Linked DNA regions of Neodiprion lecontei. The protein of the gene in region 1 interacts with the protein of each later gene in a pairwise test. Links are inferred from orthologs where the notes say so. Each region holds a gene or a part of one and is shown on either strand. Other genes may lie near its edges.

The links.
Region 2: the proteins of ras-related protein Rab6 (region 1) and GRIP and coiled-coil domain-containing protein 1 interact in a two-hybrid assay, tested with the Drosophila melanogaster proteins (2 studies listed by BioGRID). The link is inferred for Neodiprion lecontei from reciprocal best matches to the Drosophila melanogaster genes Rab6 and GCC88.

Annotation. Positions count from the first base shown.
Region 1 is NC_060263.1:23,057,136-23,066,822, forward strand, and holds the start of ras-related protein Rab6, read right to left. Parts: upstream 5,365-9,687; 5' UTR 5,190-5,364; coding exon 5,120-5,189; intron 3,217-5,119; coding exon 3,158-3,216; intron 1,041-3,157; coding exon 881-1,040; intron 118-880; coding exon 1-117. Other genes in the region: protein FAM8A1, read right to left, coding at 6,489-6,833, 7,119-7,248, 7,364-7,484, 8,427-8,585, 8,751-9,000, 9,270-9,365. UniProt on the Drosophila melanogaster protein: Protein transport. Regulator of membrane traffic from the Golgi apparatus towards the endoplasmic reticulum (ER). Mediates membrane trafficking during egg chamber growth and organization, possibly upstream of exocyst component Sec5.
Region 2 is NC_060266.1:25,188,434-25,201,234, forward strand, and holds GRIP and coiled-coil domain-containing protein 1, read right to left. Parts: upstream 9,053-12,801; 5' UTR 8,857-9,052; coding exon 8,772-8,856; intron 8,666-8,771; coding exon 8,529-8,665; intron 8,402-8,528; coding exon 8,237-8,401; intron 8,146-8,236; coding exon 7,955-8,145; intron 7,821-7,954; coding exon 7,577-7,820; intron 7,502-7,576; coding exon 7,186-7,501; intron 7,106-7,185; coding exon 6,786-7,105; intron 6,703-6,785; coding exon 6,239-6,702; intron 6,152-6,238; coding exon 5,974-6,151; 3' UTR 5,971-5,973; intron 5,889-5,970; 3' UTR 2,664-5,888; downstream 1-2,663. Other genes in the region: D-aminoacyl-tRNA deacylase 1, read right to left, coding at 9,191-9,282, 9,355-9,590, 9,691-9,781, 9,964-10,006; centrosomal protein of 152 kDa-like, read left to right, coding at 10,137-10,194, 10,510-10,634, 10,718-11,597, 11,666-11,754, 11,840-12,040, 12,327-12,566, 12,632-12,801.

The DNA.
Region 1 (9,687 bases):
CTTGTCTTTTGTCACTTAAATCAGTTTTATTGCCTACTAGCATTATGATGACGTCGCTACCTCGTTCCGTCCGAACATCGTCGATCCATTTGGATGTTTGGTGAAAGGAGTTAGCATCTATGAACAACATGAATGAATAATTAATTCGTACTCTAATCTCTATTTCACCTGAAAATATTGGGGCTGCACTGATTTTAGGTACGAAATCATATTATTATTCTATGACATTGTGTTAGATTTTTTCCTGCAACTTTATTAAAAAATATTAATATTTTGAATTAATAACGTTAATATGATAGTGAACAGGGGAAATTGATACTCTTTATTAATTTCACTATGAGATTGTTATGCATTGAGAATTTATTAAATTACTATATTCGTAACCTACACAGATCACTTTAAAACTAAAAAAATAGAAAATACTTGAATTATAAAAAGAGCCTTATATGTTGATGCTTAATTTCGAATCATGTTAGAACGGTTGAAAATCACTCAGATTCGTTCAACTTCACTCTAAGATGGCCCATTTTATTGAGAAGACTATTTTTTACAAATTCACTGAAATAGATTTTCTTTTTTTTCTCAGTACTTGATTCAATATTGCCATTTATTGGCCTTAGTCAATATTACTGCAATTTTGAAAAGTTATATATTTAATGATGCCAATATAATAAAATAAACCGTATTTAGTGAGTAGGTACAAATTAATCTTCTGAATAAAATCAGTTGTAATCACGGAGTGAAATCGAATACATCTACTAGATTTTTTTATCATTTTGAAAGAATTTGAAATGAACCATCGATACCTAAGCCTCTGTTTAAAACTCCGGTATTTCTTATTTTTGGATTTTTAAGAAGATTTTATCTTCTATCAACTTACTAGTGATGTCATACACCACCACAGCAACAGTCGAGTCTCTAATATAACTAGGAATGAGGGAACGGAATCGCTCCTGTCCGGCGGTGTCCCACAGCTGCAGTCTAACTGTTCGATCTTCAAGATACATAGTTTTACTCAAAAAATCAATTCCTATCGTCGCCTGCAACAAACAAAAAAAGTTTATGAAATAAGGTGTAGAGCAATGATTACGAATGGTATTGGTATTTTCAAATGTAACAGACATGGAATAACATCAAGTGAAAACGAAATTCAATCGCTATATTTCAGAAATGCATATGTAGACAGCGTACAGAATGTAAAAAAAAAAACAAGTGGTCAATTTGGCTGACTTTGATAGACCAGCCTAGGAAATTCCTGCTTTGATGCATTTCGAGCCCATAAAATATTAACAAGTGAGATACATGTTTTTTTTTTAACATCATTATTTAAATAACTAGAGAACTATTCGACCATTGAATTCCAAAATTTAGTTATTTCTAAGCTGTTGAATAATTATAATAAATTTTCTTATTCTTTTTATATATTCTTGTCATTTTACTCAGTCAAAACAGAAATGGCAAGTTAAAACGAAAGACTAGATTTGAAATGGAAGAAATGTTCGAACGAATATAAAAATAAAATTACCAATAATCGTTATACATTCATCAGCTGGACTACCTACGCTGTTTTGCTTTTTGAATTCATATGTAAAAGGACCTTGTATTCGTAAAATTTATAAATAAAATGAAATAAATTTAAATGTTATTGAATCGCAGTTATAAACAATTTTCAGTACATTGACGTTATAAGGAATGGTAGGCTGAAAAAAACAAACTCTAAAACTTGATGCAGATATTTACAATTTTAGCAACAGCTTGAACCAATATTTAAATACAGCGCCAATGTCAATTGATCGTTTGAAATGCAATCGAGTTTTGAACTGAATAAAGCTGAATATTTCAAGAAAAAATGCATCTTGAATCCATACTATAACATTTCATTAATAAATTCTAATACTGCAGAAATTATTAAGGTGCCGTTCAAGAATTGCAACACTGTGTACTGAAATAACAACTATGACGAAAATGCAGATAAATGTTTCGTTCATTACCAGGAATTAGAAAATTTCAAAAACTAGCACCGAAAATAAAGTCACACGATATTGAAATGTCAGCTAACATAAGAAGTAAAATCTACAAAATTCCAAGTATTTAAAATAACACCTTATCTTCGTGTTGAATAGTGATCGATATCTAGCTTTCGATCAAATAACCCTAGGCATGGAAATTTTTTGGGACTTGAAATGTATGCTAATTGTGAATTGATAGACTCAAGAGATAATTATCATCGATTGATAAATATAGCTCTGGACAAGTGCTGGTGTTTAACTCTCGAAAAGAAATAAAATCGTTTGATACTGTGATAGAGAAAACCGAGTCATCAAATGATTAATCAAAATTGATCACATATACATTCAAATATTACATTTCAATACTTCTGTAATCAATCATGGTTGAATTTACTTGTCAAAGCCTATCCTCGAACATTACTATTAGAAAAAGTCAATGTCTAGTCCTTTCTACTACCACTTCAGCTGACATTGGCCTCAGACACCTGTTATGTGGTTCTTCCAATGTGTTTCACATCTATGACATAATACTGATGTCTCTCCTAGGTCAAGATTAATGGGACAATGATGAATAGTCTTCGAATAACTATACCGAGTGAAAAACCAACGTGCGAACAGTTCAATTAGCAGTAAATTTTGCTCATATCATTAAATTCAATTAAAAAGCTACTACTGGGAAACTCTCTGGTGATACGAGTTTGATCATCTATGTAAATAATTTACTCTTCAAAATATTTACTATTCAACTTGAAACGTAAACAGATATCGGTATTTGTATTTAAATAACAAGGTAATGATAATGTAAAACTTGAGGTGAGAAGAATAATGTAATATCATCCTGTACATGGCCTACTCGTTCAATAAAAACGCAAAGTGAAAACACTAACATGAACTCGACAAATCGGTTGAATCTCGTTTAGTGCTTCTATGCAAATTAATCGCTTCCTGTCCATCTATTATTTATGTGTATTCTAAACTAGTGATATAAATAGTGTCTTATACTTTTACAAGTAAGTAAAAGTAGTTACGAGTACTGAATAAAATTTGTAATCAATTTTCGCAGCGGGACTGTATAGTGGCCAAATGAAAAGAAAAATTACAGAGATGGCTCCAACTATAATTATAATTATAAACATCTTAATACGCACCTGATACGTGTTGTCAAAGCTATCATACATAAACCTTGTGATGAGGGAGGTTTTACCAACTGCAAAAAGATCAAATTATTCAATAAAAATAACACGAAATAAAATTCTGATCATTTTATATATGATACTAAGAAATAGTTGACGTAGTCTGTAATTAATACTAATGCGTAGCCCGGCCGAATGAAAAATTTCTGGCGTGTTAAATAACTCGCAGTTAATTAATTCAAGATCAATAGCAAAAACAAGTTGAACTGTATTTGTTAACATCGAAATATTGAGAAGACTGTTTCATAATGCTGTGATCATTTTTCTGAAAAAATCAACTTTTAACAAATCACAAGGAAGATCAGTCATGATCTAAGGATCAAACATGCTGAGGTACATCCCCTGATACTACAATAATTGCCGATAATTACAAAGATGTGAACAAATTATTCCGTTTATACAAAATTCACTGATTGTATATCATTTCATATTTCACCGTTTTTCATTATTGATGAAGATATTTTGATGACGTTTGTCTAACAGAGTTATTTTTAAAACAGGGCAATAGTATTTCTACTCTGCAATTTTTTCTGAATAAAATTGAATTATTTTTGCCAAAAATTTATGGGAATTTCCCCTGTCCATGCGTCAGAAATTACTAATCTCAATAATAATTAAAGACACTGAGAATTTGTATAAATAAACTCAGAATATTTTGACACCTAGGTCATTGTGTTAAAAAATCGTTATTTTTAATAGTCAAATAACACTTCTGGATGTCAGAAAGGCTGATTTTAGCTTGCTTAAATGTGTTCATTTTTTGAGACAATAGATCGACATGAGTTCAATGTGTATTCACTTCATTTTTCAAAGTAAACTCACATCTTTCTCCCTAATCTGATGAAATTATGGATTATTGAAAAATAGTTATTCATCATGCATCATACACTAAAAACTAGATAAATTAGACTATTAATTCATTGTATGTTGATGGCGTGAATTTCAATTGAGCGGGGCATAAAAAGCCGGTAACTACATGGCAGAATTGTGTTTTTGTTTTTCCATTGAGTAAGCAAGTAACTGTTCATGGAGAATCACATTATGCTTATTGTGGCTCAGGCAAGTTCAGAATAACTGTTCATTAATCTGTAAATTTCATCTCCCAGGAACTGTATTAATATGTAAATACGTACTTTAATGTGAACTAATACACATGACCATTATTATGAAAAGTCAAATATTATTAACCATGTCTTAATAAAGCAATTTTTTCCATGCATATAAAAAACAGTATTCTTATAATTTCTTAATTTTTTGGCAAAATTTTCTGGTAACTTTTCACTAGTATTCAATCACTTTAGAAGATTTAAGTAGTTCAATAATATTAATATAGGATATGAAAAATGCTACTTTTTTTTTTGTTTCTCTTACAATTAGTCATTCGTACAAATAGAGTAGCTTATACTTGATAGTTAATCTTAGTTTATTTTTGCTGCCAGTTTACTATACCAATATTTATAATAGATAAATGCTAGAGATTCCAGATAAAAGGTCATTTCATATTTAAGCATTCAATTCTTATTCGTAACAAAAAAGAAGATGAAACAAAAAAAATCGATTGCTAGTATTAATGTAAATTTTCATTTACAGCAAAACAGAAAAAAAAGCAATCACCGATATAATTTGATCCAGTGATATCGGTACAATAAGCTGTATTATTTATTTGTCCGATAAATAACGATATATAACAGCGATGCGAAGTATTATTGCAAGTACCGAATCGGATTTGAGACTCACGTCAGCTACGGCAGACGGACAGGGGAAAATATCGATTTATAACCTAGAACGTTATTGAAAATTCATGCGTAGTATAGATGTCGAAAGTTCAGTCTCCAACGGAGTGGTGGATAAGAAAAAAGTAGAGAACTTAAGGGAAACTAAATTTAAATTCATTGAAATATGTGTCAAAATGCTCACCGCTCTGTTCACCAAGAAAAACGAGCTTGAATTTTCGCAGCGGGTTACCGAAATCACCCGAAGACGACATATTTTGAGGCTTCGTTTCACTTTGCTTGACACGCAATAATCAAATCTCACTATATCGCGCCGTAGCCGATGGGAAAAGTCATTAATATTTCCAAATAACCATATAATTTGACAGATTCAACAGCCACTCCTTTCGGCACGGCAGCCACGTTTGACTGGGAAGTGACGTCACGCCACTGTGTTAACGCTTCGTTTCTCCATCATGCCAAAGTCCGACGATTTCGTTACTCGCCGCTAGATGACGATGTATAAAGATCCCATGTGTCAAAATGTGAAAGGAGAATGTAACAGTCCTACCCTTGCCGACCGAATCACCTATCGCTCGCATTATCGCGTGGTACGTACAACCCATGTATGTACATACGTGCATACAACCGCGGGTGGGACCAAAGATTTCTAAATGATTGGTCATTTTCAAGTCCGGTGAACTTACGTCTAGTGGAGGACGCTAACGATGAGGCGAGTTTTGATACAGAAATTTTTGTCTGTTACCGAATCATAATCAATTAATATTGTAAGCCCCCCCATAAGCAAATTGGTAAATGTAGAACACCGTCATTATTACCGTATCCAGGGTGTTTTTATCTGATCCAGCGGTTCAAATTACAATTCTGTAAATGCATTATACAGGAATTCTTATTCATTTTTACAACATAATATATTACAGCTTCAGTCTTAGCCTATACACTTTCTTATTCTATGCGGGATTCCCAATATTCAAAACAGAAAGAAAAACTTGAAACTTTGAAAAAATCATGAATTTTAATTCACAAATTTGAATGAACAAAGTTGACTGAACGTGTATATGTACTAACGAATATATGTATGTACATAGAAATATAATTTCCCGCTTTATAATTTTATCACATACATAAAAGTAAGATGTTTACATTATGTGGTAGTTTAAAATTCAATGTCAATAGTACAAAATACAGATATTCGCAATGAGTTAAAGTAGTATAGCAAAATAAATTCCTTTTATTACACTTTTTACTCAATCAGTAACGATGGTTCATTTGGTCACAATGAAATGAATACATTCATTTTGTAGGTTTATGCACAACATGGTGTATGGTAATTTATATAATAGCTTAATTATAAATTTTATTACATATTTACATATATGCAATATGCAGGTGTGAACCTTGGCTAGATAGTACGCATTGACAAGGTACTAGAGAAAAAAATAATTAAACAAAGCATTTAAGTATTATAAACAGTTTTCTACAGCAGAATATTTCAGCTTCCATTATTTATATCCTGCCATAGAATTAATCAAACTTTGAGTAGTCACGATCGATTACTGTTGCTGTTGCCGAGCTCTGTTATTTGCTCTATCTCTATAAGGACATTCGATCACAATTGAGTTACAAACAAGATCGTAACCAGTTCTGTTGAACCTGAAGAAAAACAGGGCAAAGGAAATAGGAAACAGAAATGCTAAGATCAAATTCTTGACTATCGATCGACCAAGAGATAATGGAAATCCTAGATCTGTACCAGGGGTGATGAATACTAAATCAGAACCATCAGGTCTTTCTATGGGCGTTACATTTCGACACTGTACCACACGCAATCCCATTACAATTTTACCTGGTGTAGCTCCACCTATGCAGCCATTTATACCATGCTGAAGCCAGAGTGCCTACAAGGTTATCAACATTAAAAATTGCGCTGGTATTTTTCTTCTTTCGTTATTACGAACCCCCCAGTTTCTAAGAAGCTGATACCCTATTTTGCAGATGCTACTGATTCTTTTAGATACGTCTATAAATAATGGACCTTTAAAAAGGAAGCATGTTTCATTTCAAATTGTCTGATCGCTGAGATCGTCTCAAACTATTTTAGTTATAACATAAGAAGGGCCGACTGTACAGTTGTAATATTTAATTTGCTGACAGAGAAATGAAAAGTACGAAGAGATAGTTACCTCGAAAATGCACACAATGATGCGATGAATTAACTCCAAGATCAGTATTCCAGATGTCATTTCTAGAGCCATTTCGTAATCAATACGAAGATTTTTCTGTATCATGTCTAAATCGTATCGTTCTATGTCTCTGAAAAAATCAAGGAACAATTGTTTGCTGATTGAAATTTGAAATTCTGAGTATTCTGAGGGCTCCTGAGAAGCATAACTACTCCGAAGCCCTAGTGTTTATAGTTGTGACTTACATAAAATCGAAAAAGTCGACGGCAATAAATGTAATGGAAAGTTTAAGAAAGAATAGTACCATGAAGTCAATGAACTCTGCAAAAAATCGTTTCCAAAGTGGCGGTATACGATATTCAAAACCTGCAAGTGAAGATTTATTGTTCCTTTTAACAAATACCGTCAAACCAACGGAATGAGTATGACATGCATGATAGATGTCTCAAAATTACTGCATCTTAATCACTTTTTACAATGTATCAGAATCGTAAACAGACTTGTAGATTACATTTTCATGAACATTTCTCATTTTCTTCTCTTTAAATCTTATGAAATTGATGTGTCATTTTTTATTAAAATTTCAAAGAAATTAAATATGTTGGTAATTGAAGCAATGAATTTTTAATAAAATGTATTAGATATCCTTTTCCACCGATAACTAGTTTATCATAATCGATATTGGACCTATTTGAAGAACAGTGAAATATAGAAATTAGCTTTTTGCAGCAATATTTGAATAGAAAACAAAGATGATTTAGATGAATCAGATGGAGAAATGGTAGTTAAAAAAAACAGATTTTATGGAAGAAAATTGTAAATTCACAGGAAGTTTAGCTGAACATCTTTGTTACTAAGCGGAGAGGAATGAATTTATAAATGTCTGCAGACTATTTCTACAAATATTGTATACAGGCAGAATATGTGAGAAAAATTCATCTCGGTAGACCAGCATGATCAATAAAATTTGTAGCCAAACATTTGTACCACATTTCATCGGCTGGGAGGAAGAAGGTGTTGTTTCGGCTTTATCATAAAAAAGGTGTTGTTTAGGCTTTGCTGTGAAAAAGATGTTGTTTCAGCTTTGCCGTGAAAAACATGTTGTTTCAGCTTCAATTTGAAAAAGATGATGTTTCAAGATCAATTTTTATAAAACCAATTTCTAGTTACCGAAACAACACCTTCTTCCTCCCAGCGGATGACTTAGTCTGACCTGATGCAGGAGTTTTGTTCTGTAATGAAATCAAATGCAGGCTGAACCTGTGTTAATAATTGAAGAACACAGGAGTTATTTTTATGACCTTCTACCTTCGGCTCCAGGCGGTCGTGGTATTCCGGCAGTATCTGGAGGTCTCCTTAGTCTGAGACCTTCGTTAGTTTCAGGACTGTTTACGTCAGCATTGGCTTGTACATTTGACGCTGTTGCAAAACCAGCGTTGCTTGGTACTTGCTGGAATGGATTGACACCTGATGCAAATAAACATAGATCCACGAATGTTTTCAATTATCTGAACTTAAATTCAACAAACTGAAATTGAACAGTTGAGACTAGCTAGCAACAATCATTATATGCAATTTAAAACTAGCAAGCGGACGAAAAGTTGAAGCCGATATTTGATTTCTAATTCATACCAGTGGTAGGGTTCAACATTTGCGTTGACATTACGTAGTAAGGAAACATTGCCGCTACACTCTGACAGACGTACGCCTCCTGCAGCCATTTTTCCAATTTCTCAAAATATTCGGATCTCTCTTTGACAGCTGACGTCTGTGTATTTTGAGGTTGGGTTGCACTTTCATTTGGATTTCTATCCTCGGACGATTTATTCTCGTCTTCCAGCATCGTTGTTCTTTTATTGGTTCGCGTGAAAAGTAACTCGCACTGGAGTAAAAACGAAATGACGATCAGATACGAAACGGCTAATTGAGAATCACATCGCATTGACGTAAATGGCATTGACTATAAAGTCTTCATCGCACGGTTGAATCTCCATGTACAGAAAGTTTTAAGCAATCACAACAGTGTTATGCGAAAATGCACCAATGCGATTGTAGCTCCAGAAGGATGAATACCGGATTGAAGGTACAATTACAGAGTTACAGACGGAGCTTAAAGTAGCATCATCAGGTATGAATCTTGGGGGGAATTGCCAGCCTTCTTATTCTGTTCCTGATGACTATTGTCACCGCTGCGTTGTCATGTCCCAACAAACTCTTGTGTTTAGAATAGAATTTACTGTCACGCATGTGCGAATTCGGAAAACGAATTGATGATCAGACTTGTTACGAATCGGCACGTGTTGGAACTTGGTACAACTTCGGAATATTTCGAGCGTAAGCTAGGGTTAGACCGTGGTTAAGCACTGGCTATTTAGGAAATTGTACATACCTAATAACATGGAGCAATATAAAACCAGTAACTTACGTTCAATGACGCAGTGCGTTAAATTGAATTATTCTAGTCCGCATGCGCCAGAGAATGCCGGAGTTTGCAAAATACAGCATTTCAATTGTGCACATTTGCACGCATCAACGTTGTTTTTCCTCACTTCCAAGCAGATGTTTGAAT
Region 2 (12,801 bases), on another chromosome or scaffold:
TAAGCGGTTTTATATTGGCTATATGATGATGTTTTTTTTTTCTTTTTTTTTCTGTCCAAGCCGTGACTCATGTATTTTACACTCGTATACAGTATGGCGCGTGTAGATCTGTTAATCAATTTCCAATTCGTCATTGATGAAAATGGCTTTCACATTCTAGCATGTTATCTACTTTTACCTACCACATATACATATAGATTTACATTTATGTATTCACATATACATCGACGCCCAATATATTTTGTTTTAACGGTCTTGTTTGAATCTATATAAATAATTCTTGTCTCAATTTTTTTTTTTCCTTTTTTTTTCTACTACAATTTTATTCGAAAGAACGCTCTGTAAATCGTTGCGGAAATGTGTTGAATCTTGGCAAAATAACGAAAAAAAAATATAATAAAAAATGGAAATATATTGTTGAGAAATTGGCTGTAAAATATAGATATTGTAATTAGCAAAAAATGTTTTGGAAGTGCACGATAAAATGTTCAGGTCTCGCGCGACGGCACGCATATACATATATTGTAGCTAAACAGCAGACAGCGCATGTTCTACATATTTTGTAAATAAAAACAATATAATTATATTATATTATATAAAGAAATAGAGTATAATAATTGAAGTATAGTAAAGGATATAGTCTTGTAATTTGTAGAATGATAGTTATTATTAAAAAAAAAAAAAAACAAAAAAAAACAGAAAAAATAACATAAGAAAATATTAATCACTAGTATAATTACTTCTACGAGTTTAGGCAGGATTAGGTTTAGTTTAATTACAAATAACTGGGCCTTTACACGTCATTGAAATTTTGGCTCGGGATTGTTTACTCCACTCCCTCATAATCAAATGCCATTTGGTTCACACCCTCCAGCCTCCGTATAAACTGAAAAACTTGTTCCCAAATGATTGATAACTCTTGATACCATTATTTGTGTGTGTGTATATATATATATATATATATAAAAATATATATATACACACACATATATATATAATATACTTTTGCTGCCCAATAATAATTTTTGCAATTACCGATTTACTATAATTATTACTATTTATTTATTATTATTAGAATTTTTTTTTTTTTTTTTTCGACACCAACTTAAGAACGCGGCAAGCGTGCTGCAAGCAAATATTGACAGAGTGAAGCGCAAATATTTCGCGATAAGATTTCTTTTTAGGTAATTTAACAATTTCTCTGATCATTGTTGCATGAAATGATATAGAAATGTCTTGACGTGTTCGTTCTACCTCATTTGTCATATCCGACATGTACTTTTCTGTAAAAGATTACTCATGAGGTTTTACGTTTACTTGAATTTTCTTTCTATTTTTTTTTCTTTTTCTAAAATCTTAAAATCCAATGAGGATTTTGAAGCAACGGACTATTTCACAATTTTGATACTTTTAAGAAAACAAGAAAACTGAAATAGCGTACTTAAACTAGCTTCTCAGAACAATTCTTTCAATTTTATCACATATGTAATATATGACTTTTGTCACAGATTATATTGTTCTTTGATTTCTTCGGAAATTTGCAGTAAAATGTCGCCCAGATATGAAATAACAATGGTTCGATTGAAAAATTAGCCATTAGTCCGTCATTTGTTGAAGATAATTTTTATCTTATGCAGAAAAGCACATGATAGGATTATTGCGTAACACGATGTTGTCAAGGACCTTATTCTATGGGGGGTGGGGGAACTTACAGAAGATGAACACTAAGACGCTCTCTGACAGTGAAATTTCCTTATGTAAATGGGGATTGCGGCCGATAAGCGATATTGTAGAGTCTCGTAAAATCCTCATCCTTGCCTCGCTCGAACAACAATTAGTAAAATTTACCACATTTTGTACTTGATTTAAATTTTAAGTAAGCTATTTTCCAGTATTGATAAGATTTTTAAATAAGTTTCTTGAAAATTACTACTATTATTATTATTATCTACAAGTTTTTTTTTTCTTATTTATACATACATATTTTTCGTAACTCGTTGAATAATGCGAAGAAATTTGCTTGGTGACTATTAGCCGTTGCTTGTATGACTGTGATTTAGAAAAGCAGAACTATAAAGGATAAACCGCTGGGCGGCTATAATAGCTAGCAGTTTCCTCGCTCAATAATTTATCTCCCTGAACATATTCGTTATCCTCTTTTTTTCTCCATTTCGTCAAAGGAAGAGAGGAAGAATATCAAAGAATTACATTCATAGAAATGCTATGATGTTTGATAAAGAAAGATAGGAAGAAAAAAACTCGACAACTTACGACGAACAGCGAGCCTTACCAACATCCAAATTATACCCTCCCCTAAATACTTTTTATATTATTATTTGTGTTATTGTATTTTTACCACGATATAATTATTAATTACTTATTACTATTATTATTATTATTATTATTATTATTATCATCATCATCATTATTATCATTATCATTATTATTACTGTCGTCGTCGTCATTCTTATATTTCTTATTGTTTAATTTTGAAATATTTCTAAAATTGTTAAATATAATACACTATATCAATCAAGTATAATGTTATCGAAATATGAATTAGATAAAATGAATACCACACGTACAAGTGATAATGTCTATCTATTAATCAATATATCCATGCGGTAAATTCTTCTTTTTTCTTTTCTTTTTTTTCAATAAAAATACCTTTGATGTATGATGTAAATCTTTACTACTCAACGTTGTGATTATATACAAATGTGACACATACATAACGAAGACGATGAGGATATTTTGAAACTGATCTTTCAAACTACTTGAGGTGATTCCGTGTACCTTGAGATAACTGGAACGAAACTTTGAACGTGAATATCAAAGGTCTGCTTCAAACGACCCTCTCTGTATGTATGCGTGTATAATTTGTAAAGTATGCACTGATATATACATGTACGAAATGACGAGTATGATAAACATATATTTGACATTTTATAATAGCCACTATCTGGCAGAAGCTTGAAACTCTTTATCGACAGCGGTGGTCATGTTTGGTTCATTTACAATTTTCAATTACACCCAAAGTATGCGTGTGCAGATAAGTAGCCGTAAATGATTGCGACACACGCTATGCTTTAAGGTAATAAAACAAGCATCGGTGGTGCTTGGTAGACTTTAAAGCCTACCTGAGACTTCACCAGCCGATTAGTACACGCTAGACCAAATTTATAAAGTGACTGTACAATAATTTCGAAGTGCACATTTTGACGATGTATTATAAAATTTGTTCGTTATAACATTTTAATTAATTAAATTTAGTTAGATGAATCCGGAACACTGTATTGCATATTTGCAAATAGGTTATGCTTTTTTAGTACAGTTTCCAATGTTCTATAAAGTATGTGTTTCATAATACTTGAAAGTTTGCTAAAAGTCATTTAATTCTCCGTCGCGCACATCGTTGTATTAACAGATAACAGAAAACAGTATTTAAGGGTATTTTTGGTTAAGATAAATTAAAGACAGGTGCAATGATCACACGAATATCAATTAGCTGGTTGAAACTTCGGTTAATGTCTATAATGTATTACAATTCGATTCGCTTTCCTTGTAGCTAAAGTCGAGATCTGGTGCATGGATTCCCCAAAGTAGCGAGAACGATCCTTTCTGACAATTTATAAGATTACCAAAAAATGAAATGAACAAATATTGAATATTGTGTGAACATTTTGACGACAGCCGCAGTACGAGGTAACGATTATTAATGCAATCATATTACCGCGTGGCTATATGGATGCTTACATCAACATTAGAAATTTAAGTGGTTTAACGGTAAAAACTTTTCGATGCTTAGAAATTCACAGTCATGCCTTATAGACCAAACATCGTAATAATTGAAATGCATTTCTGTTGTGGGAAAAGGAACTTCCTCATTGAGAATAAATGAAACCAAATGATATTTTCTTCAAATTGCTATACGTAACAATTTATTGTCGACAACTAATTGAATACTCAGTGATTCAATTGCTTTTGGGAACAGCCATACGGTGTATGAAGTTTTGTTAATTTTAATCAAGATACTCTGAAACGATAATTAGGAAGTAAATTTCTGTTTCAATTTTTTGAGGAAAAACATTGGATGTATTATTTTTTTTGAAAAGCATAAATTTTTAAGGGTATTACATACTTTAATGTGTATATAATACGATGTATAAATCATACTGTTATATGACTGTAATAATAATTGAGATATATAATAATAATAATAATAATGGTAATAGTAATAATAATAATGTTAATTACGATACCAAGACGTAACAATTATTTGAAAATAAAATTAAGTGACAGGGAAAAATACATAAATTAAATTGAATATTTGCTAGAGAAATTGGATAATTGATATTCGGGTGAATGTCGCGTTAAAAGAGATGCGTGAATCGAATTATTTAATGTCTAAAATAGGAAATTGCGTGTGACAGAATAAATAAGATGTTGAAATCTGTGTTGACAATCGCCGACATATTGAGCTTACATTAATAACTGAACGATATTGTAGAGACACAATATGCCTTCGAAGTGTTGAAAATAAATTTTCTACTTTTTATTCGTAAGTACATTTTTACGAAATCAGTTAAATGTTAATATTTAGTATCGATCGTTCGGTGGGTACATTTTTAACGTGTTCACGTATATTTCGACGAATTTTTGTATTGTACTTACGATTGAAAATCTAAATTTTGTATTCCCATTTTGGGAAGAGGTTGATTATAACTGTTGATTTTCAAGTAATTTTCAAGCTTCTACTTCGAGCTTGATTTGTCAGGTGAATGTAGCTTACTTGTATATATGGTACATATACAACAAAACCCAGTCCGCTGTTAGTTACAACATATTATTAATCTTTTAGTATAAATATGAATATCTTTGTTAAGATAAAAATCGACCGCGTAAACTTCCGTAATGTTGTATCATTTTGATGCTATTATAAATCGCATTAGAGAACGTAAATTATATACAAATAGAGGTACGTGTTATATTATATTATCGAGAATGTGATCGAAGCGAGAGATGTTTATTATTTCATGTTGTTCGATAAAGAGAATTGGTAACAATTTGCACAATCCTGCATGAGCTGCAGTCTTTCTCCACTAGCCTTTCCTGTACATAAAACGATAAATATTTGATTGTGCGATATGACGATACGTATAATCATAATCAATAAACTGTAACGATATTATAGACTCAAGTATATGAATCATTTAAATAATATACACACATGCATATATAATATATATATATATATATATATATATTACATATATATATATATTAATAATTTTATTGTAAATGTGTTACATAATGTGTACTTCGTACATCCCGAGTACTTGCAGTAGGCATTAGATAGAAAATATTGCTTGAGGATATTTTTTCAATGCCAACAATGTGATCACTTCATGTAGAGAAAGCGATATAATAAATTTCATGTAGAATTAATAGTTTGAACGTGTCTTTTGAGTCTTTTCGTATCCACTTCTTAACAAGACCAGAAACTACATGAAATCTAAGAATTTATCGCTAAATCAAGTTTCTTTTTACTGTCTCGTACAATTTGATAGTCCTTTGGATATCTCTCATCAAACACATTACATAGAATATTTTCGTATCGTTTTATAAATAATTTAAATGCTATATCTAATGTTCTAGTCGATTAACTATTTATAGTGGATAAAGGGAATGTTTTTTCTCACTCGTACGATGAGTGAAGAATGAATAATTGCGAAATTTTTCACCTTTTACCCCAGGCAGATTGTCCAGGCCAAGGTAGTCGCAGAGAGAAATAATCCTGCTCGAAACGTGACACCCTGATGATTTTGCTCCGATTACTTTCAAGAAACGAATATAATGACGAATGTAGCACCATTTAATCGATATATCTGAAGAGGAAGCACGGGTTACACATATCAATACTGGTAATTTTAACGCAATGAAAATCAACTGGAATTGATATCAACTTACTCATCAATGTCGTTTGAGGTGACGAATTTTCTCCACCTCTTCCGGAGTGAAGTGAAGAATTGTAGAAATAGCATTCAACATATGCCGCTTACTGGATGCATCATTAGTCAGGAGGTAATTGAGTACGACATTCTTCAAGTACTCGAGATTTGCACCTTCTCTGGATTTGTAGGCTTTCAATCTACATGCATACGTGGAAAAAGTTGAGTTGAAAACATTTTTTTAATGCTAGTTATTATAATATTTCTCTTCTAGTTCCCTAGCGTACCTTGTAACTTCATTTTCTAGTCTCTTCAATTCCTCCCTGTGTCTTTCAGTAGCTTTTATATATTCTCTGTGTTTCTCTCTAATATCTGCTTCCATTTTCATATTGCTTTTTCGTAATCCTGAAACCTGGACTTCTCGCCGCGCCAATTCTTGAGCGTAATGGAGCATAGGTGGACTGTCGGCTGTCAGCAAGCCTGTAACGAGATCAACTGCTGGCTCGGAAATATTGTCCGGAGTTGGAGATTTGGAGCGGTCTTCCTGATCTCCAGAAGAAGCTTTCTTTGGCAGTAACGCGTGAAATGACGACTTTAAGGTTTGAATTTCTTGGTCCTTTTCCTGAATTAATACTAATGTTCGTTCCCTTTGACGTTGAAGCTGATGTTCCAAAGTTGAAATCTTCCCTCGGAATTCATTCTCTTTCAGAGATAGCGATCGTTCACTTTTCAATCGTTCTTCTCTGAGTAGCTGCAATACATCGACTGCGGTTATTACTGTTAAAACTTGAGTGACAAATTTGTTTTTGCCCACATATTCTGTATTTTTATTACCTGTTGCTGATTTTCTAATTGAGATTTGCATTCTTTTTCTTTGTTAATTATATCTGCATGCGATCTGCGCAATCTTTCTTCCAAATTTTTAACCTGCAATTTAGCAGCATTCAACTGCAGTTTGTAATTGCCACTTTCATTTGATTCAGAAGCAGTAATTTTGTCCCGTTCTTTATTCAGTGAGGAATCAGGTATCGCATGACGAAGCTGGGCCGATGTTTTCAATTTAAAATCTTCGAATTCTTGCTCTAGCTTTTCAAACTTTTCTTTGTACTCTAGATCCTCGTTAACATCGCGTAGATTTAATTTACCTAAAAGATCTGACATTTTTGTTCATAAACTCTGAGTAGAACTTGCACGATTGAGCTAACTATTAAAATAGACCTGGAGGATACGTTACTTTTGATATCAGACGACTTGTCCTGATTAGCCAGGTCCGACATACGAGCATAGAGCTTCTTTATTTTAGCTGCAATTTCTTCTGGATCATTTTCAAACCTTCCTGTTTCTTTATCTTTACATCCAGCCCCCTGCAAGTTGGCCAATTGGTCCTTTAGCTTTTGAATAGCTTGCTGATCCTGATGCCTCAGTCTATCGTATCCTCCGACTGTTTCCGATAATTCTGCTAATCGAGCCTCCAACCCTGCGACTCTGGATTCATGCGTCATTGCTAGAATTCTTGCCTGTTGTTCTGCGGCAGAGGCTCTTTTTTGTTCCTATATACAATGAGATATTATACAATCGGTCGTTCATTGGAAGTAACAATTTTATGAACTCTGTGCTATTGTTACCTCTTGAATTGCATTGCGATGTTGTTGTTTTAAACTCGCCATTTCAGATTGTAAAGAAAGTAGCAGTGGAGGAGTTTCTTTTGCAGCTGCCTCTGCTTGTTTCAATTTATTCCTAGCAATTTCTAACTCCGCCTCTAGCAACTTACTTTGCTCTTTACTCGCGACGTTGATCTTTAGATCTCTAACTTGGTTTTCCAACTGTTCTTTGGCGCATCTTTCGTCGTTGAGCAGTCTTTGCAGTTCCCTACAAATTGATAATATAATCCACATTATTACCTTAACAATTTCATTGTGAAGTTTGAAAAAAATTTGCTGTAATAACAAGTTGGTCAAGGCAAAAAATATTCGATTAGTTAATCTGCATGCAAGCCAATGTACCAACAATGGTCGAAAGCAATCTTCATACAAGTGAGGTATATGTACTTAATCATTGCAGAATGATCAGCTTGCTCCTTTTCCCGTTCATGCCGTTCCATGATCAGTTTATACTTAACATGTTCAACCTCGGAGCGTGTCTCTTTTTGTGCCTGTTTTAATTTTTCTCTCAACTCTCTGATAACTTTTTCATACTGGAAAATATTTCACATAATCAAATCAAAAGATGTTTCAAAATATCAATTTAGACAAATATTGCTGTTTTTAAAATTTAATTGCACTCACTTCTTCTCTTTCCGTACGCAGCTGTTTTTTATCAGACTGAAAATTCGCCTCCATTTTTGATTTTTCTGCCGAAAGAGTTGCTAGTGAATTCATCAGGGCACTAAGCTGAGTTTTTAACTGCTCCACCGTCTCTGGTTGGCTTGCTTCTTTTTTAGAATTGGGCACCTGAAAGTATAAAGTTTGTCAAAAAAGTATTCAACGAACATTTACTGCATCCCATATACAACTATGGATTGATAATATGAATACGCAATCGCTTGTAAGTATAGTAATGCGATTCATCTTCAAGTACCGGTTCAGTGCCAGTTTTCAAATCCGACGGTTTATCATGTTTATCAACGTCAGCCTTAGTTTTAAGGATAAAAGCTTTGAGGCTTTCTTCTAGGGCTTCTTTTTCCTTTATTAGACTTTCGTACGCCGGCACGATATCTGAAATAATATACAAATTAGATGTACATCGTCGCGTGTCCGGTTACCCGAGCGTTTCAAATGTTGCGCGCCATTTTTTATTCCGCTGCACTCAGCTATTACCAACCTCTCAAACGGTTTTCATACTTGGTTAGCTTTTGCCTCTGCTTGTCTACGATTTCCCAGAGCTCCTTCTTGCTAGTTTTTTCCATTTTATTAATCACCTTCTGGACTTACAGGTTGAATACAACGTATGCTTGCAATATTCATAGGTGATTGAGCTTATAAATCAATTCAGAAATGAAACGGAGATGTTAAATAGGATAGCGTATGACAGCTGGCGATTGCAATCATATTCACGAGCACACGTGCTTCCAGTATTGCCAACGTTATAATTTCGTGCTCTTTCTCGCACTGATTAGTGACACCATCTTTGATTTATTTTAGAACAGATGAATGGTCGCAAGGCAGGAATTAGGCGTGGGCTTAAAGCAGAATTTTTAGAATTTATTTTATTTCCAGACTCAAGCGCACGACGTCTTTAAATCACTGAGATACTCTAACAGGTGATTCAATCTCCAGGGTGACTGGTCCATCATTCTCGATTAGAACTTGCATCATTGCGCCAAATTTCCCATCTGAAAAATGTATTGTAGGTATGGTTGTAGTACACTTATAAATTGTGAAGAGGGTGAAGAGTATTTACATACCTTTTATCAACTCGGGTTTGTACTGTTTGCCAAGTTCAAGGAGAAAATTGTTGTAAAATGGTTCCGATTCCGTAGCTGGCATTGCTCTGTGAAAATCCAGTTTATTCCCCTTCAATTGATGGTACAAGGTGAACTGGCTGACACATAGAATTTCATAATTTTTATCCACAACGTTTGTAGACCATCTTTTCTCATTTTCGTCCTCGAAGATTTTAGTGTTAAGAATCTTGCGGATTCTGTTTTAAAATCGAATATATTCAAAGGTCCCATCAGGTTCTTAGCAATTTATGAAAATATGTGAAAGATACATTAAATTATTGAGGCGAGTTAAATTACATGTATTCCATATCTGCCGCATTGTCGTCTTTTTTTAGTCCTATTAAAACGCAGAGTCCCCGTCCGATGCAACTGATGATTTCACCATTAACTCGAGAAGAAAAAAATTTGAAGAAATCGTTTAATCACCCAAATATTTGTCTGACAGTAGTGTTGGTGCATATTGATTCGAAGCTAGAGTGCAATAAATATTTATTTGGAAATTCAAAATTTATCGCGAATACTGTAATCAAATCAGCTACTGTGTAACCTAACGCAATCAAGTACTCTCACCTGATACACTAGCTTGTGTAACTCGTTGAATTACGGCTTTCATCCTGCATGAACGAATCGGTCAATTCAAGTTTTATAAAAATTCTGAATGATTGTTTGGGGACAAGTCGAGTGTCTTTTGTTCCTACGAGATTTGAGGAGAGCTGATAACGTACGAAGTTTTTCTGTCACTGATGAATCAGGATGGCGTCTATCCGGTTACGCGAGGTTGGCGGGAGCGCGACGCAACTAGTACGTAATTTGATATTTCCGGTGCGTGTAATATGCTATAGAGTGGTGTTTGACTTTTCAAAGATTGTTTACAAGCGTTTTCCCCCGTTAACGTTCAATCGAATTTAGTCAAATCCATTATCAATATCAAGGCAGGGTCGGTGGCAACAGTTTCATAAACATCCCGGAATGTATTTCTGAACAACATTCAACCCCGTTGTGTTAAATGCGACTAGTTATCGATGACACACTTGTTGCACGTAGGTTATGGCCCTATAAACAAAGGTACTTTATTCACAAATCAATGATATAACATAGTTGTTCGGCGTTAAGCAGGCTTCGGGATGGAAGGGCCTGGTATAAGTTTGTTTCAAGGATCCGATAGCATCCAGTTGAACACAACCGCCCAGCGCCAAGAGGAGGATGAAGAACAAGAAGACATCAAGCGCCGGAATGAGGAGGTGAATGTTAACTCTCTTCTTGGTAAACAAACCCAAACCCCTCCGTTTCTTGCACTATAAACCCTTTTCGTAATTTTTTCAAGATCAAAAACATTTTGACAAATGCTTTTGACGACCTCGACAACGACGACGACGAAGCCAGCTCAGTCAACAGCAGTAGATGCTACAATGACGTTACCAGAGACACAGAACGGAGTCATGCAGGAGGGTTAGTTTTTGAAACTACGCGCTCTGAGAGTGGTCCGACGGTTTCTCAAATACAACGAGAATTCGGGGTGTACGGACGCGTCGACGCCAGTAATGATTGCAATGATCAACCCCAGTCCAATTTCGAACACCAAAATGCAGATCGTGGCCCTACTATTTCAGACATACAGAGAGAATACGGGGTGTATGGGCAACCGGAAACACCGTATAGTAAGAATACTGCAAATAATATGGTCAATTCGTTGGACAGTCCTTATGAATTGCCCAAACCATCGAATCCTGGGTATCCTCACAATATCAGAGCTCAGCTTAGCGAGGGGTATACTTTTCCTGAGAGTTATCCAGCTAATTACAAAACTCCAACCAGTCGCTTTGGAACAGCGACTGAAAATTATCGCGACAACGGGTATATCGACAATTACGAAAAAAATGGCCCGTATAAAGCTATTCAGGAATTTGGCGGAGGAGATAGCGAAGTCACTTCAGATCATTTTCAGCATTGCTTTCAAACCAGTCCAAATGGCGGTCCTGTCGATGAGAATACAGCCTATAAGACCGCAGAGTATAATAGTAATGAACAATTGCAAGTATTGTATTCTGTTAGAATGCGAGAAATTCAAAGGTTAACGGAAGAATTGCAACAGTTGCAAGAGGAACGAAAAGAAGAGACAAGTCAGCTCAGTAGAAAGCTTGCTCTTGCTCAAGCTGAAGTGGAAAGATCTAACCTGTCGAGAAATCAGGCACAGAATTTACTTGGTAAATATTTTACATTGATGTGAGCAAAAATTTGTCAAACTTTTTTACAATTGTTTTGATTTTTCCAGTGGACGCTAAAGTGGAAATAGGTGATCTCCAGGCAAAATTAGCAGCTTTGAAAGAAAACGTTGCTGTATTGGAAAAGACTAAGCAAAATGTGAGGCATAATAAAGATCAGAGAGTTTTGTGTTATTTCGTTCCATAAGAATAATAATAATAATTTCTATTACCCACTTCAACAGATGGGTGAAGAGCTCAGCATTTCCAAAAATTCGGTGGCCGATCTTCAACAAAAAATAGCGGTCCTAGAAAGAGTACAAATGTTGCAGACAACTGATAAAACTCATGAAAAATTTTTGAAACAAGCTCAAGAAAAACACACCATAGAGATGAAGAACATGCAGATACAGATAGATGCTCTTACAGATAAATTAAATGCTAAGGTATTCACTTGAACTAATGAACCTTTTACATAATTTCATAGTATAAAATAACACGAGATCTTTTGTAATTTTTGATGAAGCTGCTAATCATGGATTCTAGCAGCAGCGACATTTGGGCAAGTGTCTGATCTTCTGCATAGAAGTTTGCGTTTGCTTCCTTGAAAAAATTATTTCATTTAAATTTGCTCCAGAGTAATACTGATTTGTGTAATATCTCCTGATTACATCGATCAAGAAAAATTGATATTAAAATGTGAAAATTTACTGGTTGTTTTAAAATAATTAGGAAACATCTTATGTCGCTCTGGAACACAAGTTAGCTGATGTAAGGAGGGCGCATGAAACATTAATGGTAGATAAAGGAGATACGATGAATCGTCTGTCGCGTGCGCTAGAGGAAAGTCAGGCTCAATGTCGTCATCTGATGGCCAGTCACAATGTGCAGGAAGTTACGAAGTTGGAAACTCAGCTTAGAATTGTGACGGAGGAGAAGGACGAGCTTGTTAAAACTGTACACGAACTGCAGGTAAGGATTGTCGTCTAAGCATCTTTCTTTCCGTGAATACTTGACAAGAGTTCATTTACTTCTAGCGGAAATTGGATTTAGCCAAGAGCGATATTACACAATATGACTCACTGCTGGCAACTACGTGTGAAGAGGAATCCGACTCTATGAGGCAACTAAAGTTGGGCGAACTTCACAATAGATCTAAGAGTAAACCAGCTGATGATATTACCAATAAACTGCGAGGAGAATTGCA